Rattus norvegicus: one gene and its partners. The protein of the gene in region 4 purifies or fractionates together with the protein of the main gene of each other region. This does not show direct contact. Links are inferred from orthologs where the notes say so. Each region holds a gene or a part of one and is shown on either strand. Other genes may lie near its edges. The genes, in order: Gar1, Clns1a, Coprs, Wdr77, Sirt7, Lsm4 and Ctdp1.

Evidence for each region.
Region 1: the proteins of Wdr77 (region 4) and Gar1 purify together in Homo sapiens (affinity purification with mass spectrometry; 3 studies listed by BioGRID and IntAct, with this or other methods). This does not show direct contact. The link is inferred for Rattus norvegicus from reciprocal best matches to the Homo sapiens genes WDR77 and GAR1.
Region 2: the proteins of Wdr77 (region 4) and Clns1a purify together in Homo sapiens (affinity purification with mass spectrometry; 6 studies listed by BioGRID and IntAct, with this or other methods). This does not show direct contact. The link is inferred for Rattus norvegicus from reciprocal best matches to the Homo sapiens genes WDR77 and CLNS1A.
Region 3: the proteins of Wdr77 (region 4) and Coprs purify together in Homo sapiens (affinity purification with mass spectrometry; 3 studies listed by BioGRID and IntAct, with this or other methods). This does not show direct contact. The link is inferred for Rattus norvegicus from reciprocal best matches to the Homo sapiens genes WDR77 and COPRS.
Region 5: the proteins of Wdr77 (region 4) and Sirt7 purify together in Homo sapiens (affinity purification with mass spectrometry; 3 studies listed by BioGRID, with this or other methods). This does not show direct contact. The link is inferred for Rattus norvegicus from reciprocal best matches to the Homo sapiens genes WDR77 and SIRT7.
Region 6: the proteins of Wdr77 (region 4) and Lsm4 purify together in Homo sapiens (affinity purification with mass spectrometry; 3 studies listed by BioGRID and IntAct, with this or other methods). This does not show direct contact. The link is inferred for Rattus norvegicus from reciprocal best matches to the Homo sapiens genes WDR77 and LSM4.
Region 7: the proteins of Wdr77 (region 4) and Ctdp1 fractionate together in Homo sapiens (co-fractionation; 3 studies listed by BioGRID and IntAct, with this or other methods). This does not show direct contact. The link is inferred for Rattus norvegicus from reciprocal best matches to the Homo sapiens genes WDR77 and CTDP1.

Annotation. Positions count from the first base shown.
Region 1 is NC_086020.1:221,053,950-221,058,093, forward strand, and holds the start of Gar1 (H/ACA ribonucleoprotein complex subunit 1), read right to left. Parts: upstream 2,801-4,144; 5' UTR 2,544-2,800; intron 2,306-2,543; 5' UTR 2,294-2,305; coding exon 2,074-2,293; intron 687-2,073; coding exon 532-686; intron 76-531; coding exon 16-75; intron 1-15. UniProt on the Homo sapiens protein: Required for ribosome biogenesis and telomere maintenance. Part of the H/ACA small nucleolar ribonucleoprotein (H/ACA snoRNP) complex, which catalyzes pseudouridylation of rRNA.
Region 2 is NC_086019.1:161,437,169-161,440,668, reverse strand, and holds part of Clns1a (methylosome subunit pICln), read right to left. Parts: intron 2,255-3,500; coding exon 2,118-2,254; intron 2,111-2,117; exon of another isoform or gene 1-2,110. UniProt on the Homo sapiens protein: Involved in both the assembly of spliceosomal snRNPs and the methylation of Sm proteins.
Region 3 is NC_086034.1:82,422,151-82,426,279, reverse strand, and holds the start of Coprs (coordinator of PRMT5 and differentiation stimulator), read right to left. Parts: upstream 2,801-4,129; 5' UTR 2,775-2,800; coding exon 2,706-2,774; intron 372-2,705; coding exon 305-371; coding exon of another isoform or gene 301-304; intron 1-300. UniProt on the Homo sapiens protein: Histone-binding protein required for histone H4 methyltransferase activity of PRMT5.
Region 4 is NC_086020.1:196,130,382-196,133,881, reverse strand, and holds the end of Wdr77 (methylosome protein WDR77), read right to left. Parts: intron 3,154-3,500; coding exon 3,082-3,153; intron 2,464-3,081; coding exon 2,355-2,463; intron 1,895-2,354; coding exon 1,826-1,894; intron 1,096-1,825; coding exon 936-1,095; 3' UTR 29-935; downstream 1-28. UniProt on the Homo sapiens protein: Non-catalytic component of the methylosome complex, composed of PRMT5, WDR77 and CLNS1A, which modifies specific arginines to dimethylarginines in several spliceosomal Sm proteins and histones.
Region 5 is NC_086028.1:106,398,699-106,402,698, forward strand, and holds the start of Sirt7 (NAD-dependent protein deacetylase sirtuin-7), read right to left. Parts: upstream 2,801-4,000; 5' UTR 2,781-2,800; coding exon 2,685-2,780; intron 2,619-2,684; coding exon 2,481-2,618; intron 2,378-2,480; coding exon 2,273-2,377; intron 1-2,272. UniProt on the Homo sapiens protein: NAD-dependent protein-lysine deacylase that can act both as a deacetylase or deacylase (desuccinylase, depropionylase, deglutarylase and dedecanoylase), depending on the context. Specifically mediates deacetylation of histone H3 at 'Lys-18' (H3K18Ac).
Region 6 is NC_086034.1:18,788,967-18,791,886, forward strand, and holds the end of Lsm4 (U6 snRNA-associated Sm-like protein LSm4), read right to left. Parts: intron 2,550-2,920; coding exon 2,508-2,549; intron 2,114-2,507; coding exon of another isoform or gene 2,034-2,113; exon of another isoform or gene 1,540-2,033; intron 1,533-1,539; exon of another isoform or gene 1,513-1,532; coding exon 1,414-1,512; intron 1,337-1,413; coding exon 1,156-1,336; intron 898-1,155; coding exon 806-897; 3' UTR 501-805; downstream 1-500. UniProt on the Homo sapiens protein: Plays a role in pre-mRNA splicing as component of the U4/U6-U5 tri-snRNP complex that is involved in spliceosome assembly, and as component of the precatalytic spliceosome (spliceosome B complex).
Region 7 is NC_086036.1:76,187,409-76,191,708, reverse strand, and holds the start of Ctdp1 (RNA polymerase II subunit A C-terminal domain phosphatase), read left to right. Parts: upstream 1-1,500; coding exon 1,501-1,814; intron 1,815-4,300. UniProt on the Homo sapiens protein: Processively dephosphorylates 'Ser-2' and 'Ser-5' of the heptad repeats YSPTSPS in the C-terminal domain of the largest RNA polymerase II subunit. This promotes the activity of RNA polymerase II.

The DNA of each region.
Region 1 (4,144 bases), about 25 Mb from region 4:
TTAAGTTTGACTCACCTTCTGTAGCTTTTTAAAAGAAGATGCCTTCATGTTTTCTGACAATTTAACTGAAAAATACTATCAATTACATTAAGGAACAAGTAAGAAATAAAAATGCAAAAAGATTAAACTTTTGAGTTTAACCATTTTAAAAAAGAATGCCTAGGTAGAAGAAAGAAATTTCCAAAAGAAATTGGTATTTCTTTAAAAGTAAAAAACAAACCCCAAAACTCACAATCAATACCTCGAACCCTAATGCTACCAGGGACTCATTATGTGTAAAGCAACAGAAGAGCCAATACAACCCAGTGGCATTCATCCAAATGGCTACCACTTCCAAAACGCAAAGTACAGTCCTCTCTCCTTGGTGCATCACTTCATATAAATACGGATGAATGAATGCACTCCCCTGCAGATTCTCCGTGTGACCCATCTGTAACTTTGCTAGCTTACTTTGATATTTAACTGGCTGGGGAGGAAAAGGGACAGTAATTCCTTAACAAGATCACTGGCTCATACAATCAGAAAGGATACAAAATCTCTAAGTTGTCCAAATATTTCATCCACTTTCCCGATTTGTTCTTTGTTTTCTAAATAAACAGGAGCATTGAAGTAAGGCACCTTGTTTTCTTCTGTGGTACATTTACAAACGATGTCATCTTCACAGGGATGCATGAACTCTCCTAATACTGAAACAGCACAAGAAAACAGAACCACTTCAAATACTGACCAACTGCTGGAGTTCCCCGCTTGTCTTTCCCCGCATCTGATGCCCTCTCCAGCACAGCTCAGTCACCAACCCTGTAGTCCTAAGTTAGCATGTCATTACCATGGGACCTAAGAGACCCCCTTCTCTCTGTACACTGTAAAATGAGGCTAGTCACCTCTAACGGCAGCCACACCTGATACTTAAGCAACAGGAACAACAAACACAGTGCTTACAACAGCACTCATTCAATGTACAACAGTTACCCTGTCAAGGCTGTTATGACTGCATTAAATCCACTGATTTTCCCTTCTTTACCCAGCCTCAAACTGTGAACCACTCTGGTTTTGTTGATTGCTTCTTCCTTCCTCAGAACTCATCACCACTACCACCTCTTCACCAATGACTATCCTTCCTCAGGAAGTATGCGAACTCAAAGTACACCTGTTTCTGTAACCCAGAATTAATACCATATACCTACAAAGTAACTCCCTACCCTTAACAACAGCTAGAACCTTTCTTAGTATTAGTCAAGTTCTATGTGTCATGTGTCTTTTGAAATCTCTTCTCCATCCATGTGTTCAATGCACTGCCTTCAGGCTGCATGGAACACAGGACAACTGTGAATGTGGCCCAACACAAAACGGTACACTTATTTACAACATGTTTTTGAAGGGTTGTGCAAGGGACTGTGTGTGTGCACGGTGTGTGCTAACTAGGCTGCATGGTTATGTGGAGTGTGAATTTTGTGATGTCAATGTGACGCAGAGTATTAAAAAGGTTGGACCTATCTCCTACCTTTCCCCTTTTCCTCCTGTCACCTTTTCAAACACAGATCTCAACACCTTATATATATGGCTTACTACACGTCCCCTTGACTTTAGTCATTTTGTTCAGCAAATTCATCCTGCATACAGATCCACCACTTCCCCCTTACGTTTGCTGACTTCCAATCCACCTCTCCCATAATTACTCAAAATTACTTTAGTTGGGCATTTCTTTTCTTTTGCCTTCTCCCAAGCAGGTTTCATTTCCCCTGCTTTTTGGTAACTGAAAACATGAGCTATGGAAGCTAAAAGCTTAGGTTTGTGTTTTAATTATGTCATTAGGGAATCACACTTAATCCTGAATGGTTTTCTGCCCTTTAGAATGCCTAGGTACTCAATATTGTCTAAGTCTCTACTTCTCTGTCCCAATTCAAGTTCACCTCCACGCTGCATTTCCGTTCTCATGATCGGTTCCTTATATGCTATGAAATGACTGTCAGGGAACCCGACTTGCCTTTTGGAGACTTATTATCAAACGTGTGAATAACATAAACCGGACTCTATTCCCATTGCAAAGGAGGTTAAGCTTTGAAGACGACTTACAGACGACTCGTTCTGGAGGCCCTTGATCTTGGAATTTATTGAAGCCTCCACGACCGCCCCCTCGTCCAAATCCTCCTCGGCCGCCGCCCCTGAAATTGCCGCCGCCGCCACCACCGCCGCCGCCCCCTCGGAAGTGGTTGTTGCTGCCGCCGCCACGATTGAAGCCTCCACCTCCACCACCGCGATTAAAGCCTCCGCGACCTCCGCCTCGGAAAGACATGCTCTCTCCGGCCTGGTGAAATAGACGGCCGGCTCCTTCCAGTCAGTGCGGGCTGATCATTTATCTATTTCCCCTCCGCCTCGCTCGAAACACCAAAAAGAGGACAGCAGTGAACGCCGCCCGCCACTCGCCCACATAGCCAGTGGCGAGCGCGGAGAGAGGGGTGTCTTCGTCCCAGCCCCACGGCCCATGCCTCGCCACCCTATCCCAACCCGCTGCTTCCCACAATCTTGCCCTCCGCCGCACTCACCGCGCCACGTGCGTCTCTAGCTCAGCTGGGCGCGCGCGCGGAGCGATACTTCCGGCGCGCTTAAACCTCCTCGGCCACCGTACGGTACAATTTTACCAGACTAGATATTGGAAGGGCTGGTTTGCAGGAAGAGGCTGTCACTACTTAGACGCAACGGTCCTAATGCCTTCCCGAAGAGAGCATACAGCACCGGAAGAGAAACAATAGCACCCAGCGTGACCCCCACCTCACCCGCGCAAGGTCCACCTCGCTAGGGGTGGCGGAAATGATGCAAAATAGCAGCGCCTTCCGTACTCGACGCTTCCGGAAGTGTGGTGCCGCGTTGCCCTTGGAGACAGGGGTGGTTTGGGTTCTTCGGCTCTAATCGCTGGTCAGGCCTTTGGTCGGTGAGGCGTGTTGGGTGCAGTTAGCGCCACTCGCCAGGCTCTGTCACTTCTTGGGTTGCGAGAAGGTCCCGACTTGACTCTGCTCCACGGAGTGTGGCCACTCGAGCCGTGCTCCGCCCAGGGTCCAGTTGCCTTCTCTTTTTATTGCTTTTGTGTCCTGTTATTAATTAGGAAAGGGTGTGTGTTTGTATTTGAGCTGACAGAAAGGCAACCATCTTTTACTATTGTTTGAGTGTATTCATTCGTTCATCAAGTGCGCTTTGAACACCTAGAGAATGTGTTCTATAGATTACACCTCACCTCCTGCCTCCTTAACACTCTCATCTCTGACATCGGTTTCCTTACATCACTAAAACTTCGCTCGTAAGAAGTGACCTCTAGTTCTTAAATTTGGTTGACTTCTTTTGTATCTGTATTGTCTGAAACATCTCTTGGCATTTGACAATACCACTTTTTACTTGAAAGAAAGTAGAGAATGATCCCCGTATCTGAGGGTTATTGTGAATAAATTTTTGAAAGATCTCTGTAAATTAAGAATTCCAGTATGCCATTTACCCTAAACTATAAACTTCTTGAAGAAGTACACACTAGTCCCACATATAAAAAAATTATACAAATGTACTTTAAATATAAATGTAACTGGATATATATATCCAGTCATATATAATATCTAGTAAAATATAACATGCAATTATAAAATATTAAATTATAAGATGTGTAATAATTATTACATATACAATTATACATACATCATATATATGTGTGTATATATGTATATATATATATATACATAAATCAGCACTATCCCTACCTCTATTCTAGGTTTGTGGCAGTCTCTAATCAAACCTGATGGATTTCTCGTGATTCCTGTGAAGTACCTTTGCATTGTCATCAGCTGAGTACAGCCTTTTAACACTGCTACCTTTTTTCATTGTCACTCCAAATCACTCATAAGAATTCAGAAGCTCAAACATCACAGCAGGCAACATCTCCCATTCTGGGCTCCAGACTAAATAAATACCTGTTGACTTAACTTCTTGCGTCTGTGCTGCATTTGGTGATATAGTGAACTTAATAAAATGGCTGTCTTGTACAGTCTCATACTCAGCCCATGCCCACCATAGCCCTGCACTTTCCCTTGGCAGTATGTCTAGAGTCTATGATTAGTAATCAGTGTGTGCACATGCCATCCCTCTGCCCCATCATGCTAGAATT
Region 2 (3,500 bases), on a different chromosome or scaffold from region 4:
GTGGGGTCTCTCCATCCAGTAGGGTTGACACAGTAAACAAGAGGCATCCACCAGTGTAGTACTGATTTGTACAAGTTCAGTGTACAATAGCACAAAAATAGACAAGCAAAAGAAAAAACTCTGGCCACTGATAATACCTTTTCTGTGCTGTTTCCAATGACATGTTGTTTAAAAACGTACCTTTAATTATTCAGCAGAATAATACACATACTGAAAAATTCTAAATCACTGAATTAGCCACAAGCTCCAAACTTTGTTGATGCATTTTAAAAAGCAATGTGTCACCATACTACACATACAACAGTAATTGTAACTACAGTACAGTAGTAACTGTGTAAGAATAACACAGTCTAGAGTAACAATATTTCAAAGTGCAGAGGACAGAGCCTAGCATCTAGATCCTCTTCCCAGAAATAGCCACCGGTGTGTTGGGGGTGGGGGTGGGGCATGGGCGGTAGGAGGAAAAGAGGAGGGAAGGAGGGAGGGAGATAGAGATGCAGGTGTGACTGGTATGCTCGCTTATATACATGTATAAAAAAGCCCTAAGTTGAGCCCAGGCCTTTGATCGCCATTTTTTTTTGGAAACAGGGTCTCTTCCTGAACCTGGGACTTACTGTTTTGGTGAGATTGGCTGGACAGCAGACCCCTGGGATCTGCCTATCCATCTGTGTTCCTGCACTGCTGGGGCAAAGGTGCAGTTTTAATGTGGATGCTGAGAACCCAACCCCAGATCTCCATGGTTATACTGAACTGAATCTATACCCTGGAAATAACCACTGTTAACAATTGCTTATTGTCTCAGGAATCTCCCTTAAGGCTGTGGATGGTAAGAAATTTAGGAAATGGTTGGTACGCCAGGTGCAACCCTTACCCAGTACAGGAAGGAGGCCCTGGGTTTGAGCATCAGCACAAACAAAGAACAGCAGCATCCAGGCTTCCAACCGACTTTACCGTTAAAGGTTTAGTCACCGGCCAGAGGTACGACTGGGGTTAACAGAATCTTTAGGAGACGAGGCCACGTGGAAAGTGAGACTAACATAATCCTCTAGAGATTGAGTTTTTAAGAAAACTGAGACTCATGAGAAAATAACTTGCCTGGCAAGTAAGGCTCAGCTTGCTTACTGGGGGTGGGACTGGTTCTGCTTCATGCCTTTGCTCCACCACCACTGACTCTAACCCCCAGAACAGCCTTTTCCTCAGCTGCTGGTGCTCTGGCACAGCAGTGGAAAAGTAGCTACTAGAAGCTCGGTTCTTGAAGTAACTCAAGCTCCAAGGGATCCAATCCTCTTCTGTCCTCTACAGGCATCCACACAGGTAGCATATGTTCACACACAGACACATGCACATAGGCTGTAACTCCAGTTCTAGGGGAATATTCACCCCCTTCTGGCCTCAGTCCCACACAGTAGCACACAGACATAAATTCGGGCAACAACCCTCAACCCTCTCCCTAATGCACATCTTCAAAATAAATAAAATAGATAAAATAGATATATACGATCTATCTTAAATTTTTGAAAGATAGAATATACTGGTTCACATCTCTGAAATGCCTTTAGAAGGAGAAGGAATAAGCAGTTAAAAAATAGGAATATAACCATATTTTTTTTTCTTTCTTTTTTTCGGAGCTGAGGACCAAACCCAGGGCCTTGTGCTTTCTAGGCAAGCGCTCTACCACTGAGCTAAATCCCCAACCCTGGAATATAACCATATTAAGAGAAGACTTCTAAGTGTAAATATATGCCTGTTAGAAGAAATTCAAGTAGTCAAATTGTTTTAGATTTTTTTTTTTTTTTTTTTTTTGGAGCTGGGAACCGAACCCAGGGCCTTGCGCTTGTGTTTTAGGTAATTAACTTGGCTTAATATGTTATTATCCAATGTGGGCCAATGGCTTAATTTTTACATTGAGTATTGTCAAAGACTGTTTTTCAGATAGCACCAAGCACACAACTAAAGTGTCAGCATCTAGGAGAATGAGGACTGTTATTCTACTCAAGCCCAGGAGTGCAATGCCAACCTGAGCAACCTGAAGACCTCATCACAAACAAACAAACACTGCCCTCTAAAATGCACTTTACTATCAGAGGAAGCACTGGATTGAGTTATAGCATACATACCTCCAAATCTGGCATTCACCATGACATACAGATGTTCTTGAGGATAAGCATTTGGGTCCCTGGATACCGCATGTAAACTAATGGTGGGGTACTCCAGTGAGAATCCTAATCCAGAACCATCTAGCCAAGACAGGCGGCTGAAAAACATGTTTTACGCAGATTATTTTTAGAAATTAAATCCTAACTTAATACCCCAAAGTTTATAAAGGTTCAACTCAGACAGTTTTATGCATAGAAATTTAAGTTTATTGACAATATTAGAAATATTCTTAAAATAAGAAAATTTAGCAACAAGGATTGAATTTTCTCTTCTATGATTTCTTTTCCTCTAGCTATAAGTTCAAACAATTTGAGAGGCAGGTTTTTTTCAAGTCACCTGTGTTTATTTTTCCTCCATGCGCACATATATGTGGGTACTGGTGAGGTCAGAGGAGAGCATCAGATCCTCTGGAGCTGGAGTTACTGGAGCTGGAGGCTGTGAACTCCAATGTGGTCACTGGCAATTTAGCTCTGGTCTTCCCAAAGAGCAGCGTGTGCTCTTAACAGCTTTCGGCCCTTACCTGCCTGTCTGTCTTTCATGCTTATTCCGTTACCTTCTTTGCTGTGAGATCTTTTCATCTAGACAAGTTCCAAATAACTCCATGAGCCCTCTTTTCCACAGGAACCTCTTCTGTTTCACACTGCAGCTCAGTAACACACATGCACACATGTATGTTAACAGATCCTGTTTGTCAGTCTCCTACTTCCATCCCTTCATTTAACATTCCTCAAAAATGTTAGCACAGTTCTCAGTAGGTAAGCATGCAACAGACGCTTGGTAATCAACGTTTCCATTCATCATACATTAAATGATGTACACACAAAGCAGCTGTGATTTCAATCACAGTTCAAAAAATTGTTATTGCCTTAGGAGACAAGGTAACGTTCCCATTTATTACCAGCTTTGAGAGAAAGCCACAGGGAAGCCACAGGGGCTGGAGACATGGCTCAGCGGTTAAGAGCATCGAGTCCTGAGTTCAATTCCCAGCAACCACATGGTGGTTCACAGCTCCCTGTAATAGGATCTGATGCCCTCTTCTGGTGTGTCTGAAGACAGTTACAGTGTACTCCCATACAAGAAATAATAGAAGGGAATGGGGATGTGGTTCTACAGAACACACTTATATTCTATATCCTTTCCACTTTCTCCTCCCCTGCTCCCCCAACCCCCACATCCCCATTCCCCCTTATTTTAAGATAGTTTTAATATTTAGCCCATGTTGGCCTCAGCTGCCCAGGTTGCCCATGAATTTTTTCTTTGAGCCAATGTCTCTCTACATAGCCCTGGCTGTCCTTGAACTCAGCCTGCCTCTGCCTCTGCCCCCAGTGCTGGGATTAAAGTTG
Region 3 (4,129 bases), on a different chromosome or scaffold from region 4:
CGGTGGCGAGTATCCTGGGTAGCATCACTACAGATCTTCTAACTCAACCTGGATGTGTAACGGAGACTTTTCCTAGCTTCACACACCAGATGCTTTTCATAGTCTCAAGCTGTTCCTCCCAGTGAAATGGGGTGGTTTGGATCCACGGGCATCCAGTACCTCCTGGAAGCTTGCAAACCAACAGTTCCACTCAGACAATGGGCAAAGAGGGCTGGCCAACACGAGAAGACAGACAAGACAGAGGGACCGTGCTGTTTCCCTCCATCTCTTCCAGGGGACACCCCAGTCTCCACCGTCTACTTGCCTAGTCGGTCCACGTCTAGCTCAGTCTCTGTCTCCCCACCAGAGAGGTCAGCTGTGGCAAGACCAGCCTGTGGAAGAAGAAATAATCACCAGGAAACTGGGTATGTGGGGCGTGTCACTGCTCTGAAGCCCCAAACCCTCCCTCCCATACTGCCCTGCGCAAGGCATCACCCAGCAGCACTTCTCCGCTCTGACCACTGGGTGTGCCCTCCTGCAGTGGCCAACTGACAGATGCTGGCTTTGCTCTCACCCCTGGGCCCTCTTCAGAAGTCTGGGCAGCAGGACTTCCCCAAGCTCACAGACCCTGAGGCTAGATGGGACAGCTCCCTGGACTCAGTTTGTAACCTCAGGTCTGTGGAAACTCTTTCCTCTAAGTTTATGAACACTTCAACTGCCCTAACTTCATCTCTCTTCTTCTTGGCTAGGATTGACTGCTGTTTCCCGATCCTGCAACTTCTCTGCAAACCTTTGCCTTTTTCAGTTCTTTGTCTCAATGTCTAACAACTCCTAACAAAGCCATGCCCGCAGTGGTCCATGGGGGAAGCCGCCTGAGTTCTAAACACTGGAAGGAATACCTAATCCCCACTGCCAACCAGGAATGTTATGCCCTGTTACTTCAAAGTTCCCCAAACTTTATTCCCCCCAAGATCTCTCTGCAGTGGAACCCGTAATGTCCAGAGCGTGGATGGTCAGGCAGAGTTCATTCAGTCTTAGCCCTGCCATTCATTCAGGGTGTGACCTCTAGAAACAGAAATGGTTGTTATGTCCTGGGAGGGGTCCTATGATGAAGGGACATTCATAAAACATCCACTATGGCTTGGAGACAGAGCTCAGTGGGAGAGTGTTTGCCCTGTGTGCACAAAGCTCCACACTGACTTTCCAACCCTACATAACATACTACAGGTGGGTCATACTCAGAATCCCAGCATCTAGGAGGGAGGGGCAGAAGGGTCAGAAATTTAAGATCATTCTTGGCCACAAAGTGAGCTCAGATCCTAGGCTACATGAGACCCTATCTCAAAAAAAAAAAAATTACAATAAAATAAAGCCAACAACAATAACAAAACCACCTGTTAAGACTTCAAGGAGGTAACATTTCTTTGACTTTAATCCACTTATTTATTTATTTATATATTTACTTTATTTGTATATAATTGTATGTGCGAATCTACCAGGAGGATCCCTGGAGAGGGAGTTGCAGAGGGCTGAGACATCTGTTGTGGGTGCGGAGAACTAAGCCGAACTCTGTAAGACCACCAAGGTTGTCTCTCCGGCCTTAAGCACCCTTCATCCTGCATGTAAACTGTACTTAGCACTCACCCAAATTAGCGTTCATTATCTAGTCACTCCTGAGCTTTAACAGCTCAATTCATCTCTTGTAGTCAGTGATAACCATGGGCCACTGTTGCCCCCCTAGGAGCTGAACGTCTTATGTGAACCTATGCCCATCTCTCTACTCCTGCTCACTCTTAGCAAGTGTAATCACTCCTCCACTCAAAACCTTCACAGGCCCTCTGCTGCCATCACAGACTGGCGATGGCATCCATATTGCCTCTCACGTTCCTCAACTTGCTGAACACAGTCCTCTTCCTGAAAAAGGCCTGCCCTCCGACCCAAGCTCCAAGGCCATTTGCCCCGTACTTTCTCATATCCAGACCTTTGCTGGGCCTACCTTCTCACCCAAAAACATCCTTTCCAGCTCCGCCCTGACTTTCTATTTTGCAAAAGTAATTTTCTTTGCAAATCTATTGGTGCTGTCGCTTCAAGTACCATCTGATGGTACAAGTACTGATGTCCAAGTAAGCATTCCACTCATACACCCAATTAGCATATACGTTGTGCCAGGTACAGGCGTGGCTTCTGGTAAAAAGGATGCCTACAGTCAAGAAGTCACTGGAGAGGTAGACGCAATAAGGGCAGGTCGTGGGAAAAGGCTGCATTGGCGGGCACTTGAAAACAAGTTTCTGGAAACCCCGTAACACGACGGGCTCTTTCGTTTTGTCAAATGGGGAAAAGCACGGGTGACATCAGCGGCACATCCCTATCAATGGCCAGAGGTCCTCAAGGTAAGGTTAAAAAAAAAGATGTTTCCTCGCCGCTCCCGCCTGACCCGGCCCCCTGCTGCTGGAACCAGCTCGGGGCGGCCAGCTCCGCGTTCTTTGCATTCACTCCCGCAGGAGCTCCCGAGAAGCCCCGGTGTTCTCTCCCTCCCGCGCCAGCCACAGCCTAGGGCTCGGGTCCACGCGCGTTTCCGCGCCCACCGCCGTTACCGGACAGGCTCTGCGCGCACTCGCGCGGCCCCGGCGTTTCCCGGGTGAGCGGTCTCTCCGGAGCGCTCGAGCCCCTCGACTTCCAGCCCGGGTGGTCGCGGGTGCCCGCATCCCCCACCCCGTGGCGCTCACCTCCGCGCTGGGGGCCTCCCATGCACTCGGCTCGCCCGGCCCCGGACCGGTGGCTGCCTGAGGGTCCATGCCGGGCCGCCCACAGCCAGGCGCCCGGGACGCTCCGACACGTGACGGCTGACAGGCTGCGGGCGAGCCAATCGGCGCGGCGCTGCGACCGAGGGGGCGGGGCGGCGCAGGGGCAGCGCCGGACGACACGCCCACCTGCGTTGTTCCGGACCGCAGGCTTTCCAGCCCTATCTGACCTCAAGCGCTGGTTTAGAAGAGCCTTAGGCCAGACTGGCCACTGAGCGTTCCTAGGCACCCGGGACTCCCCAACCGCAGTGTGAAATGACCCGAGAGCATATAGAGCCCACCCGGCTGTCACACAGTCACAGCCTCTGGGCTCCATCACTTTCGCTCTTCCCCATCACACGGTTTTCCAGATCGCCCTCTGCACCTGCACTACAGCATCTCTTAATGAGTAACTCAGCAGCCTGGAGAATTGCTGCTTTGATTTAAGGATAGTCTTTAAAGCCAATCCGCTAGGAACCCGGATAAAGGATCAAAACAAACTACGTGCCACCACAAAACGTGGTGTGTCATCGAATTTGGAGTCAAAGCCAGTGCTCCAAGTCAGTAATGTGACTATGTTGAATAATTCTCCGTTATAATTCTCCGTTTTCCATTTTCGTCTTTCCATGATTAATCTGGCTATTTTTACTGGCATATTGAGTACGGGTAACTAACCTAACTTCGGACACGGGTTGTTAACACCCCCTCCCCCAACCCCCTTCCCGCAGTTCAAAACCGTTGGGTGATAGAAACTGACAAAGCTGTCTTTAGTGGTCAAAGTCCTACAGTGTACAGTCTGGTTTCCCCCTAATACCTCAAAAACATAAGTCAGCGGCTAGCTGGAGATAGCAGTGTGTGTGTGTGTGTGTGTGTGTGTGTGTGTGTGTGTGTGTGTGTGTGTGTGTGTATGTGTGTGTGTGAACAACCCAGCTGCAGAGACAGCCTTTACTGCCTCCGCTCCCCCACAACAGCCTAAACTCCAGCAACAACACATGTCTACTACACATATAAGTTGGCGTATACATAGACATAAATACTAGAGATGAAAATTTCCCACCTGGGCTAACAGTGCTTCTTTAAGAGCCATCAACCGTCTAACAAAAATCCCAAGACCAGGCGTGAATACACCCCTTTAAGTTGCTGGCGAAGGTTGTCCAAGAGACGACTATCAATATATTATAGGCTCTTGCTATTGCCCTTGGCTGACCTTCATAGGTGAAAAGTAAGTTCCTACGGTTGAAGACACCATATACTTAAACGCAGGGTCCAGAGGCCCCTGACTGGAACTTAGCTGAAAGCCTCCTCCCTGAGGGATCAGCTTTCATGATTCCAGAAGATGCTATGCAAGCTTCCAACGGAGGAAAACAACG
Region 4 (3,500 bases):
ACCTAAGCAAAGCAGGTAATAAATAAGCTTTGGAGGAAAGATGAAAGGATAAGTCTTTATTTCACCTTCCAGTATTTTTGACAGTTTCTCTGATGCCGGATCTTCAATCTTAGGAGTCCAAATATACAGCGCTCAGACTTCAGCTCTCCAGAGCAAAGTACCCAGATCAGTCCTCAGGGAATTTTTAGGTGGGAAAAATGACAATGACAGATTTCTCTGTAACAATCCATGTCAATCTTCTCGCTTCACTGAAACACTTTTAATTTAAGTACTCCATCATCCCTAAAACTGTGAAATCTAGGACAGGAAAGCACTCATCTCTCATACACAACACAAAAGAAGGAACACAGGGTGAGCGAGCGCGAACTCCAAGGGCCAAATTGATTCACCCAGAAAGTGGATTTGATTCCATTTAACAGGCATTCGTACAAAACTGTTCTGTCTTCTCAAGGTAGTCTGGCTAGACTTTTGTATATGGGAAGTAATTCCCATATAGTGAATTAAACTCTATATAAAAATAAGTTACGCACCTCTGAGTAATGTGAAGTATTCCCAAGCATCCAGGGATACCCACACTCCATATCCCTAACAACATAGTCAGCCCCCAGACATGGGAAGCATAAAATCCTCTGGTCATTTTGTCGGGGGTAAAGAGCATTGCTTTGGGAAAGCTGAAGGATAATTTTCTCCACTCCAAACTATACACTGCACTCACACGTGTACTCACACATACATCCATTTATAAAGGAAGCTTTTTCCTCCAAGTCACTATGGGATGCAGCCTCCCTCAGGCTGAGAATCTGACTAGTTACTGCACGGGACTAGGGAGTAATCATGCTCTACAAGGCTCCTGTGCTCTCTCTCTCACAAATGGAAGGCAGGGGCAAGCGAGTCGACACTTGCAGACAGAAGGCTCTTTTCTTCTGCAATCCATTCTACTCCACAACACTGTCAGGTCCAGGGGCTGGGAGAGGCTCTAACGGCACAACATGGTGGATGACCTGATGGTCCCAGCCAACTGTGGTAAGAAGGGAGTGATTGAGTGGAGACCATGTAGCATCTCTCACAAAGTCTCTGTGGGCTCGACTTCTAAACCTAGAACAAGAGGGGAAAATGTGGTGTGGTAAGAGAAAAGATGAAAACCCAGGAGGAACGATTAAAAAAAAAAATTAAAAAAAAAACTAATAACATACACTTATGACACATTTTTTGAAACATTTCACCATCTACACAGCCCCATCACCAGGCCAGTGGATGTTAGATTATCCAATCCAGTCTACTTTCTTAGGTGAAGAAATGGTGGACAGAATCGGAAGCAATAATGCCCACAGTCAACAGGAAATTATGGCAGAGGGACACACCCAGGCCTTCCATCCAGTGCTTTACAGCAAGTTCCACTTCTCAGAAGTGGCGCCCTGCATGAAGCTGGAGCGCTTGGTAAACAGCCTACAATCAGACAGCTTCCAGCACTCGGTCTTAGACACACAGCTGCAAACAGAGACGACTTGGGGGAGGGGATATCTCTGCAGACAAAGATGAAGAATTTTCTTGTATTTATACTTATTTTTAATAATCTCCATGTGGGTGGGTGTGCAACTGAGTGCGGACGCACACAGGTATCATATGCATTGGATCTGGAGTTACAAACAGCTATGTACAGACTGATGCAGATGTTAGAAACAAAGGTATTCTAAACTGCTGAGCCATTTCTCCAGACCCAACAAAGGAAGAATTCTACATGCATGTTCCTGAAGAGAAAACAGACTTGCTTGCCTACTGGTCTTGATCCCTGATTCCCGACCACAGGATTCTACTTCAAACTTACACCTCAGAAAAGCTTGAATCCAGCACAGCAAGTGAACAGTCTTCACTGAGAGAGGCCAGGAAGGGAACACTAGGAGAGGACACAAAGGGAAGAGAAGATAATGCCCATAGGTTCTACAACCGAAATCTAACAGGGCCAGCCCCAACCCCACTGTAAAGTGAGCCGGGGAGAGGGCAGTCTGATGCCCACTTTGGGTTCAGATCTTACCACCATTACATCCAAGGAAGATGGAACAGAGCCAGTGCTCACGGAAACCAACCAGCCCAAGGGTCCTCCCTACATTAGCAATTACCCACCCACAGGCTCTGAGCAGGAGTGAGATTACATCTTAGGTCTTTCCAAACTACACAAACCAAATAAAGACTATCTGGACAAGCTTAGGAAAACCAGGTTAGAGTACTGCCCTATCTGAGGTCCAATGTAAGCAGCTAACGCTTTGCCAAATAGACACATCCCTGTATCACTCCACTCCTACTCTTTCATTACAGTCCCCACCCATCCCTTCCAGGTTCCTGGTAACAAACAGTACCTGTGTGGAGAGAACACCAGTCTAGTGACACACTGCGAGTGCACAGCTGAGCTGAGGGTGCAGCTTGCATTCTTGGTGTCCACAAGGGAGACAGATCCATTCTCATCACCTGTAGAAGAAAGAGAGCATGTCACAGTGGTTAAGAATTTATGATTTGGGCTAAGTAGCACACACCTTTAATCCTAGTATGTGATGAGAGGCAGAAGCAGAAGGATCTCAGAGTTCAAGGCCAACTGGGCCTATCACGTTCTAGGACAGTCCAAACTACATCTACATACAGACCCTGTCTTGGCTGAAGGGAAAAAAAAAAAAAAAAAAAAAAAAAGCCATAGACACTGATGTCAGTCAGATGGGAGATTTGAATGAATCCTAGTTTCTCAAGATGTAGACAACAGTTTCCTTTGTGATATAGAATCAGTCAGTCACTATGTGGCTGTGAATTACTGGATAAAGTTATTACATTAACTACAAACTCTTGCCATGTGTAGTCACACCACAGCAGAACATAGTTCCCTAACAGCAAGCACTTGCTATGCAGCTCACTGATTTCTAACCATGCCCAGAATAAAGGAGCTGAAACAATGAAGCAAACCTATTAGGAAAAAATGATGGTCTCCAAAGCTAGGTAAAACCGACATAATCCATGCAGTGCCCAAGTGTGCTGACAGGAGCATGTACTCCAAGGTATCCGCCCCATTCCCAGAGTCGATACGTCATGCTGCCTTACCAAAGACAAAGATTTCACTCTGCTGAGGATGCCAAGCCAGGGAGGTAGGGAGGTAGCCAGAGGCATTGCAGCCTGGAAGGGAAAAAAGGGAGATTTGGAACAATGGTCACAACCTAGAAGAAGCTTCTTCCAAAAGAAGTCAGTAAATCCTGGGAGCACTTTCACTGAGTTTCTTAAAGACTGCCAGAGCAGTCATGTATGTCCTCACCCCTGAGCCTACACCTACATCTACCCATCCATCTCCTGCCATCTCCTGTACAACTAAAAGCACAAGACATAAAAATAATAACCCTGACCCTTTGCCCAGCTGTTTGCACAGTAAACTACACATGGAAACTAACCCTTACTCTGGGTACCCCATGCACTGTGGTCAGCAAAGTCTCAGTGAGACAGAAAACAGTGTTGTCAGAGGGTGGGCA
Region 5 (4,000 bases), on a different chromosome or scaffold from region 4:
TCCCCAAATGGGTTGTACCCCACTATGGCTCTTTCCTTCCATCCAAGTGACTTTCTTGTCCTGTCTGGGCCACCTTACCTTTCCCTTTTTTTTTTTTTTAAAGATTATGTATATATGTGAGTAAACTGTTGCTGTCTTCAGACACACCAGAAGAGGGCATTGAATCTCATTACAGATGTTTGTGAGCCACCATGTGGTTGCTGAGATTTGAACTCAGGACCTCTGGAAGAGCAGTCAGTGCTCTTAGCCGCTGAGCCATCTCTCCAGCCCCAGCTCACCCTTCGAATACCAAAGAACCCTACCCTACTTCAGGGTCCTTGCTAGCACTGAGCAGCTGTGTCCACATCTGTCTTGAACACAGAAGGGGGAAACTGTTTAGGCTCATCAGTGTCCGAAGGAACAGGTTTTAGAGTTCAGGTCACTATTTAGCAAATAGTGACCCCAGGAGAGGGTCCTCTGTCCACTTATATCCTGCAGCTCTGAGGTTTTCATTCCAACCTAACATAAAACCAGGTAAGCGTTAAGTAATTTCCCACGACAAACAAACAAACAAAACAATCTAGGAGCCGGGAGTCTTTGGATCCTGGCTGGGAAAGCCCTGTATACACTGCTGCTTAAGCTCAGAGAAGCGCCTGCCCTGGCAGGTAATTCCAACAGAGGGAAGGACCTCAAATGGTGCTTAGGTCACATTTACGAGCTGCGAGCAGAACTTAGTTAACCACCAGGTTTGTAGAGTCACTGCTGTAAAGCCAAAGCTGGATCATCGCAGGGCTATGAAGGGCTAGGCCTGGAATGCTTATGCCCCAGATGGCTGAGCTGGAGCAGCAAATGTTCCTCATTTTGCTCCTGGGTCATTGCTGTCTGTCTGTCATGCTTCCTGCCCTCACATTTCCCTGCAAGAGCCCAAGATGCCACTCCAGCAGCAAGGCCACCAAAGGGTTTCCCAGCTTTAAGGATTTTATGTCTGAGCCTGTAGTAGGTTTTGGACTATACCTTTGTAACAGAGGTCTTCTTTTGTCTGTTTGTATATGTCTTTGCATTTGTGCACATGTGTGTAGACCCACATGTTACATGTGTTGGTGTGTGAATCTCAATGCCCATCTTACTTTTTTTTTTTTTAACACATTTGTTGGGAGGGAGGTGCAAGGGTCATGAGCACAAGGAAAAGTCAGAAGGCTCCTTGTAGTCAGTCCTCTCCTGTGTGAGCTCTGAGGACCAAACTCCACCAGGCTTGGTAGCAAGTGCCTAGTTATTCAGGGAGCCATCTCACAGCCCCCACCCCCACCTTCCACTACACGTGGAGCTCATGGATTTGGCCAGGCTGCCTAGCCAGCAGGCTTCAAGGGGTTCTCAGCTTATCTTCCCGTTCTGCGGTTACAGGGGTGTGGTATTGCTTAGCTTCTTCATATGCATTCTAAGAGTTCAAACTCAGGTCCTCATGCTTGCACAGCAAGCATGTTACCCACTGAGCCATCTCACCAGACCACTTTAGGGCTTCTTCAGAATAGAAACTGTTCACCTGGGTCAAACATTCATTCCACACTCACACATGATTGTACTGATACAGTCACACGTTCAAAGGTAGTCATCCCTCAGCCCAGGAAATCTCTCAGAGTCAGGAGCACAGCATTTCTCGTTTGTACCTGTTGTACTGTGTGACTCTGTCTTTCTTTCTTTCTTTCTTTCTTTCTTTTTTTTAGACAGGGTCTTGCATCAAGCTTTGAGCCAGGCTGGCCTCAAGCATTTGACCTTGAGCTTCCTCCCCTACCAGGCTTCACCTCCTGAGTCCTGAGATTAGAGATTTGGGACTCGACACTGGTTTTTCATTTATTCACATGGATCAATGTCTCCACTTTAAGTGAGAAGCCATTAGCAAGTATTTGGTTACTACATCCTACTACCGCTCCGTGTTTGACTGGCTTTCATAAATTAAGCATTCTGAAACTCTTTGACTTAGCTAAATTATTATTTATTGATTGACTTATCTTTTAGCCCCTGACTGTTCTGGAATTCCCTATGCAGACCAGGCTGGTCTTGAACTTACAAAGATCCTGTCTCCCAAGTGCTGGGATTAAAGGCATGTGCCACCTTGGTCACTTTGCCTTAGTTAAATCTTAAATCTAGAATTGTTTTGTTCCGGATCTCCGAGAAAGGACACCTTGAAGTTATTTCAAAGGTGAGAGAGCATTTGAACTCCAGCACTGAACAGCCCAAGTTTGTGCCCCAGAAGGGGGCGCCCCACACCTGAAGCAATGTGCAGGCCGTCACTTACCGTGCTGATCCCAGCGCCTGTGTAGACAACCAAGTGTCTGGCACTTCGGACAGCTCCGGCTAGTTCGCGGACCTTCCTCCGCAACTCCTCTGGGTCATCACACACCTGACAGGAGCCAGAGCTGGTTATTCCGGCCGCAGCCCACCGCCTACAGGCTACAGGCTATAGCCTACAGCCAACAGCCCAGCACCCGCTGCCCGCGACTCGCCTCCTCCTGGCGGCGCTTGAGGCCCTCACGCCGCCGGCTCCGACCCTGAAGCTCGGTCACCAGATCCTCACTCTCAGCTAGAAGCCGGCCCTCCTCCGCGCTGCGCTCTGCAGCCGCCTTCCTCAGGATGCGTGACACCTACGGACGAGCAGTAGGTGAGCGACTGCGCGTGCCGGCGCGAGCGCGGGCATGGCAGTGGCTTACCTGACGGAGGCGCTCCCGCTGCTGCTCCTCCCGCAACCTCCGGACCCGCTCAGCCGCTTTGCGCTCCGAGCGGCTCAGACCGCCACCGGCTGCCATCGCTCCCTGGACTGCGCTTCCGGCTTCCGCTTCCGCCTCATCCGGCAGCTACAAAGACGCATGCGCGCGCCCTGCCTTTCCCACCCCTTCCGGCTCGCCCTTCCTATCCTGGTCTTTCCCTTGCTCCTTCACGTTTCAAAGAAACACCACCAGATCTCTTTAAAAGGCGTTTATTGATCATATACAAAATAAAGAAAACCTTATATATCACAAACATACACTATGTACAGCAATAAATACCCGGGGGGCCAGGCCCAGTGCCGCCCCTCCTGGACAATAATTTAGCAATAAATACTGCGCAGGGCACGGGTGGGCACCAAGGCTGCTGCCTGCTGAGGCCAGGTGACTTGATCGCTCTGCACTGATGCCAAGTCCAGACCTCACCTTGCAGCCAGATCCCCGATGGCCCTACCCAGGTGCTGGAGACAGGGTCTCACCTTGCAGCCACACAACAGCCCCTCCTCACTTGGATGTTTAAGGACCCTCACCCCATTTAGGGTACTCTCTACTAACCTCCCCCTGGCTTCAGCCCTGCAGGGCAGGCAGGGGCTGATCAACTCTGCTTGGACACACCTCTCAGCACCAGGAGACCAACAGAGCTGGACACACAATAGCCCTTGTCCTGTTGCCCTAAGTTGCCAGGAGAAGGCTTTCTGTACCCATTCCCATTTGGTTAAAGGCTTCAGGGACTAGCAGACAGAAAGAAATGGGAGGAAAGGTAGGGTTGGGGCATGAAGTTGCTGGAGGAGCCAAAAGCCCAACTGGGGCCACAGAGAACAGGGAATCTATCAGGGACACTTCCTGAACACTCTACCTCTCAGGGGCAGAGTACATAGGTGTGCAGCTGGCCCGGGAGGTATAGCACGCACCCAGGACACATGCCAGAAACAAGGAAGCTGTGAGCAGCTCGCACACCCATGCCTCTGTGTGGTACTAAGTCTGTCCTCTCCACAACTGCTCCCAAACCAGGCAGCCAACAGCACTTAGAAAACATGCCAAGAATTACTCAGTGGCTTTGGGGGGGGGGGGGATCGTTAATGTGTTGGTTCCTTTCACCAAACCACAGCCTAAAAGAGTAACTCAGAAGATCCCAGAGCGGAAACAGTGTAGCAGGCTGTGGCTCAGACACCCCAGCTGTGGATGGGAGCTTTGGCCAAGTGGCCACACCAGAGAGGGAGGTAGCAGGGAAGTGGCCTCACCATCTCCAAGTGGGCTGTAGC
Region 6 (2,920 bases), on a different chromosome or scaffold from region 4:
TTCCAACAGCATCTTCTGCTCCCTCTGGGAACCAGGTATGCATGTGCTGGGGACACACACAGATGGACACACACAGATGGACACACACACACACACACACGCACACAGTCTCTCTCTCACTTGCACTCACACACGTCCCATGGTGTGTTCTCCCTAGGTGCACTTTCCCTGCAGTGTGCTGGGTTTACTCAGGGTCAGAGCTGTTCTGCTTGCTGGAGCAGCCTGCCAGCCGTGGCCTTAACCTCCCACACTCTTGCCTGTCCCCGAGGGTCAGCCATCACAGGCTTGGCTTTTTAAGGGCTTTGTAGCCCCAGCTGGCCTAAAACTTCTGGCTCTCCTACCTCTCTGCCCTCTAAAAGTGTTGTCTGCTGCACTCTCACCTCTGCTGGCAGGACACACAGACAGCCCCACACCCAGGGAACAGCTTCCTCTGGTGAGACAACCGTGCTCAGGGATTAGGACTGTAAGTCGGGTCCGTGTAACCAGAGGGATGGCTGGCTCCTTCTGTGGTGTTTGCCTTTATTTTTTCCAACAGAAAACGTAGGGGGTGGGGCTGGGAAAGGACAGGTAAACCACCATGTGCGGAGCCTGCAGCTCCAACATGAAACTCAAACAAGCCTGGAAGAAGCCAGCCCTTCAAAGGACATCCAAGGCTTAACAGTCAACTCAGACTGGGAACCTTCCAGAAACTGAGTAAGTGGCCAGTCAGGGATTTCACTGGATCAGACGCCAAGTGGGGCTTCACGCAAAGGCGCCCGGAGGTCTCCTCACCCACCTTCCTGGACTCAGTTCAGGCTGGGACTGCTCACTGCTTGCCTGCCTGCCGCCCTGGCTTCTTCTCCGGCTGGCCTCGGCCTGCACCAGGGATGCCACCCCGGCCCCGGCCACCAAACACACCTGCACAGGACAGAAGAGGTAGAGTAGACACCAGCTTCCCTGGGCAGGGACAAGGATCTTCCCTTCTATGCCCTACGCCACTGTGCAAGGGGCCTGTGGGAGATGCCAGGTTATACTCAACCTGGGAAAAGAGCCCTCCCCTCCCCAGCCCAACAGGAGCCCACACCACTATGTCCTCCATGGAGACTGTACAGGGTGCAGAGAGGAGAGTGTCCAGGTATCCCTCCCTTCCCCACCTCGCCCTCATCGTGACCCTACCTCTGCCAGCGCCACCCATGCCTCGGCCTTTCTGCTGCTTCTGCTGCTGCGGTCCTCCTCGCCCTCGGCCCTTGGCGGCCTCTTCCCTCACCATGTCAATGATCTCATCCGGGATACGCAGGTACTTGATGGTGCTGCCTCGGATGTAGCACTCGGGCATCCTCCAGAACTTGTCACCGTCCTGTGGAGAGGGGAAGTGTCACAGGCAGGCACAGTCCATCCAGGCCAGCCATGCACCTTCCCAGCGTAACCACTCACCCTCGATGTGCAGATCACTTCTCGAAGGTTGATGTTCATCCAGTTGTCGCAGCTCACCAGGTGCCCGTTGTAGGTCTCCCCATTCTTCAGCTCCACCAGCTGCAGGAGATCCCGTCAGCCTAGGCCAAGCAGCCAGGGCTCAAACACACCCGGCTTCACATCCCAAACTACAGCTTTCTGTGCAACTAATCAACCTTTGAGGCTGGGCTGTCATTCACCTGCAAGTGCTGTGATGAGCAGGCACCACCCAGGTTCCCTACCTAGTGTGTGGACAGAGACAATTAAAACTCCACACTAGGTAGGCATGGCGACACACACCTGTGATTCCAGGACTCTGGTGGCTGTGACAGGAGGATAGTGAGGGGACAATGGGCAAGCCCAGTCTGGTCACCTATAGGAAGAATATTACACAGCCAAGAAAAGGATGACTCAAAACCTCTGAGTGACACGGAGCCAGCCACACGCTCCTCACTCAGAAATGTTCACAAGATGCAAAGGCAGGTGCAGAGGGTAGGTGGTCACAGGACACAAGCAGCCAGGGCTTGGGGTGAACTTGACATGGGTGCTGACAGGTGTAAGGCTAGGCTCTGGCTGTGTGAAGTCTAGGGACACACTGCCTATCAGAGGCAGCGCTCCTGTGGTTCCTCCAGTCCCGTAGCATTCAGGGCCAAGTCTTGGCTACGCAGCCATACTGCTGCTCCTTTTCAAAAAAAAAAAAATGGTTCAACCAGTGGCAATCCTCCTGCTGCAGCCTCCCAGGCAGCTGGGATGACAGGTGACCTGTCTGTGCTGGGGACTCTTGGGATGGGACAGGGAATACATGGGTTGCACTGTGCCCCAGTTTCTTCCTGACACTACTTTTAAAAGATTTTCCTTAGACATTTTACTTTGTATTGCATTTCTGTCTGTGTGCAGAGAGGGAAGCCATGACTCCCTTCCACCATCGTGTGAGTCCTGGGGATTGAATTCAGGTCCTGCAGCTTGGCAGCAGGCACCTCTACCCACTGAGCCATCGTACCAGGCTTCAAGCGTAAACTGCAAAGGACTAGGGTGAGGGCACATGAAGGGAGGTGGCCCAGAGTAGCCTTGCTTACCATGGGGTGATTCTGGGCTGTCTTCAGCAGCGACAAGGGAAGCTGGAAGGCAAATGTCAGTGTGAGGAGTGTCCCCCAATTCAGGGACAACCTGGGCATGGCTACCCAATGCACACGGCTGTGTGACCTCGCATCATCCCATTCTACAGGTGTTGGCCACCTGGACATCCCGGACCATTTTGGTCATTTCTCCACAACTCCTGTCACCTAGAAACACAGAAGGGGGCACAGTCCAATGTGTGGAGGTAGCAACCTGGTAGGTTTTCTGAGGCAGAGCCTTGTCATACAGCCTATGCTGGCCACAGCCTTCTGAATGCCCAGGGCTGCACACCTGCCTGGCATTTCTGCTCCACACCCTGTACCTGTGCGTCCAAAAGGGATGATTTGAGTCCCCCGGGTCCCAGGTGGGAAGG
Region 7 (4,300 bases), on a different chromosome or scaffold from region 4:
AATCCTTACTTGGTGTCTTTGGGATGGTTAGGGATAAAACACTAAGCCTGAACGCAACTGGGGAGGGAAAGGGTCTATTTTGCTTACACTTCCACATGGCTGCCTGTCTTAGTTAAGGTAACTATTGCTACACGTGTGCATATATAGGGTTAGAGTTGGTGAAACAGAAAGATTGGGGAGGGAAGGGTTTATTTGGCATATATATCCACATTTAATGAAGTCAGGACAGGAACCAGGGCCAGGAGCTGATGCAGAGGCCACGGAGGGTCTTGTTTACTGTCTTGTTTCTCCTGGCTAACTCAGTCGGCCATCTTAGAACTCAGGACCACCAGCCCAGGCGTGGCACCTGAGCCCTCTCCCTAGAAAACCAGGCACCTTGGACGCTATAGGCTACAGTTTAGGCAATTCATTGAAACAACCCGTAACAACAAAGGCCTGTTGGATTTGCAGAAGACGCAGTCACGAGTATACGCATCTTGATACAAACATGTTCACACCTCAGGTCATCCACTCAAGTTTTATGAGAATGCTATTTTAAAGGTTTCAGGAATTGCGAAATCCCCAGTCAGAGTGTCTCTTGGCTCCCATTTGTAGGCTTGATATGTGCATCAAGCAGGATCTGATGAGTAATTAGTGCACAGCAGCCCCAGGAGGAGCGAGCAGGCGAGGTGGACATCCTTAATCCACAGTCTAATGCTAGAAACTCCACTCTGAAAAGCGCCGCAGTTGCAAGCAGCCACTGCGCACACTTCTCTGCTGCGTAGCCGGCTAAAGAAGGATCGAGTCTAGGCCGCGACCTGCGCTGGAACTCGGTCTCGTTAAGTCCAGCATTCGCAGTGCTTGACGGGAGGATGAGCAAGACCCGGACCCAAAGTCTCCAGGCGTACGGACCGCTCTGCGGAGGGAGACCTATAGTTTCTCCATGAAAACCTCGCAGTGCACGACGGGAAAGGTGGGACCGAGTTTCGTGATGCATGCTGGGACTGGTAGTCTCTCTTGACGTCAGGACTACAATGTACTATCCAATACAGCGGTCCGCGCCGAATGCCGGCGTCAGAAGACTCCTGTGGTTGGAACTCGCAGTGTACGACGGGAGTTGCCATAGACACGCACTGTATGCCGGAACTGGTAGTCTTGATGCGTCAGGACTAGCAGTGTGTGACAAAAGTCTTGTGACAGCGGTCCGCGTGACATGGCTGTAGTCTCCATACCACGGACTGGCGCCCCGTAGGTGTGGACCAGCGCCTCTTGGCTCCGCGAGGGCCGAGTGTTTATCCTTATCTTGAGCGCACGCAGTCACGCGGATGCACGTCGCCTGTCCCGCCCTCCATGACGCAGCACGCCCCCCGGAAGTGGGTGCGCAGCGAGCGGCGGGTGAAGCCGGTGTCGGAGCGGGAACAGCAGTGTCGCCGCCGCCCGCGGTGGGCGCCGCGCCCTGAGCGCCCGGTGTTTTCGTTTCTCACCTCTGTTGTGACCGTCCGTGCCGCTCGCTGGGTCACGATGGAAGCGCCGCCCTTGGCCGGCGTTCCCACCGAGTGCACTCCGGCGGTGGCCGGGGCAGAGGTGCGCTGCCCGGGCCCCGCGCCGCTGCGTCTGCTGGAGTGGAAGGTGACGGCGGGCGCGACCGTGCGCATTGGCTCGGTGCTGGCAGTGTACGAAGCCGCAGTCTCCGCGCAGCCCGCAGGGCCAGCCCCGGCTCGCGCGGCCTCTGGGGGCTGCGTGCGCGCCTCGCGGACAGAGCGCAGGCTCAGGTCGGAGCGCGCCGGCGTGGTCCGTGAACTGTGTGCGCAGCCAGGCCAGGTGGTGGCCCCTGGGTGAGTGTACTGAGAAAAGGGACACCCGGGCTCTCAGGATGTCGGGGGTGTGGGGTGGATTTCTGGCTACAGTCACAGACTGGGCGTGAAAGCTACGCTAAGGGGCTGCGGGGTGAGACCATAGAAAGAATTGTCACCATTAGTGATTTTGCCAGCCCTGAGATATTTTGAGTTTGAAAACTTCTCGGTGACCCAAGGTTACTACTCCCTTTGGGATATCTTTTGCCTTCGTCCCTCTTCTGTAATTGGTGGACTCCACCTTTGTAAAGTGAAGGCAACTTGGGTGGCTGTGGCCGCGGGACTACTCAGGCAGGTTCCAGGCTCGTTACAGAAATAGAAGCTGTCGGGCGTGTGTGTTTCTACAAACGCTTATAAAACTTTGTGAAACGCCGTTGTAAAAACCCGGTGGTTCTGCAACATAGCCACCGAGAGGGCAGAACCCAGACTGTATCGGGTGATGTACTTGGTCCTCGAAGTCCTGTGAGGACTCTTTAGTTGTCAAACTTGTGTCCTGTCTCTGTAGGATCTTGGTTTGGTTCGGTTCGATCTGCCACTGTCCAGTTTTATGTTCGAGTTTTGCCAGGGTTGTGTTTTGAACCTAAATTAACACGTGGGCATGTGGGTCACGTGGCTGTGATTGTTTTGATTGCTAAGAACAAAAACTACTGGGAGAAGTGAATGCTCCTGCCTACTGTGGGTTGGGCTGAGAACTTCTCTTTGAAGACTATTCTTTCTGCTCCTTTTCTGATGCCCACTGCTCACTTCTTGGACTGGTCAAGTCTCTTCTTTATTGAGTATTTCCTGTCTAGCATTCTCCACAAGGAAAATTTCTATTTTCCACTGATCTTGTCATAGACCGAGAACCCCGCCTGGCTGTCTTCCTGGTCAACTCCCCCTAGTGCTTCTTGGAGATACTGCCTGGGTTCTTGGTTTGTGGACCCTATCCGTACCCCTGCCCACTGGTTTGCTGGATTGCACAACCACCAGGAAAACTTGCTTCTTTGGGACTGACTCTGAGGGACCTGTCTGTCTGGCTTCCTCTGGAAGTGATTCTTGGGATCCTGGGTGACTCACAGTGGCTACCAGTCCAGTGGTGTCAAGTGAGTTCCTGCTTCTGGGACAGTCACTAGCAGCATCACTTTATTTAAAATGCTTCCCTCCCTTTTCCTGTTATGTGCATTTGTGGACAGCATCTTGTCAGCATTCTGGGGAGGAGTGTAGTGAGTTGACATGTGTGCTTCCTGTACTGTTCCTGTATACCTGAAGGTACGTGGGTGACAGGAAGAAGCAAGTTCCAAGGCCTGGACTTAGCTCCATTTGTATTCCCTGTGTCAGTCCTGATAGTTTCTCTGTAATAAATGTCAAGGGCGTTCATAGGTGTCTGGGCGTGGACCCAGGGCTCATAAGAAGGGTAGTACTTTCTTCCCCAGCCACTGGCTCTTCCGGACACCAATTAGGCCTCCCCCAAAATGCCTGTCATACTTTTGCGGAACAAAGTTTAAAAAGAAATCACTGGATTGAGTCACTTTGTACAAAGATCACCATGCACAGAATTGTCTTCACAAGGCACAGCCTGAAGAGCAGCATCCCACTGAGCAGATCTGTGCAGGGCAGGCAGCGGTCGGTCAACAGAGTTCATCATCCATGGTCCCTACAGGCTTTCTGTAGCACACAGTTACACCTAAGTAGGCCTTTCCCCCACAACTTCGCTATACAGGCCAAGTGTCCTTGATCTTACATTCAAAATCTAAAATATTCCAAGGTCTAAAACTAGGGCATAGATGCTCTTGTGTTTTCTAGTGCTTGGCATGTGAGTCCTGTGCAAACACGCCACACTCCAAATAGTCCTGAAACAGCAGCACTTCTGGTCTCCAGCATTTCGAATGAGGGATTTGAATATTAGGAAGTCTTTCTAAAAGGCATCCGTATGTCTCTATTTGAGAAAACAGAGAGTAGTAGATACCATTGGATCCTGGTGTTGAATTGGACTTGCCATGACTGGTAGACCTTGGTCAGCAAAGACCCGTCTGGCTCATACACACCGCGTACGCTGAGCCAAAGCCTTCCGTTTTTAGATTTCTGTGTCTGGCTTTGGTGCAGCCTCATCCAGCATCTGTTCCATCACAGAACTTCTTCACCCCAGGTGGGGGCAGGAAGGGAGGGTGTCAGGAAGGAGCAACCAAGCCTGATAGCCCTAGAAGTTTGCTTCTTTCTGAGCATGTCTCAGAATCACACTCAAGACTACTTTATAATGAACTCATCTGAGCAGTCCTGGAAGTTTGCTCATGATCTAAGTTCTGTTCGTCTAGCAGCACCACTTCTGTCAGTGCTGGATTGCAGATTCATATTCTTAACATCACATGGGAGAGCCAACATTTACTGACATTTGCATTAAACCTTTGTAGAGTGATTATTGTATGGTGGTTCTTAACCTCCACCCACAACATGCACTTTATATAGACTTATGATTGGTGGATTCAGAACTG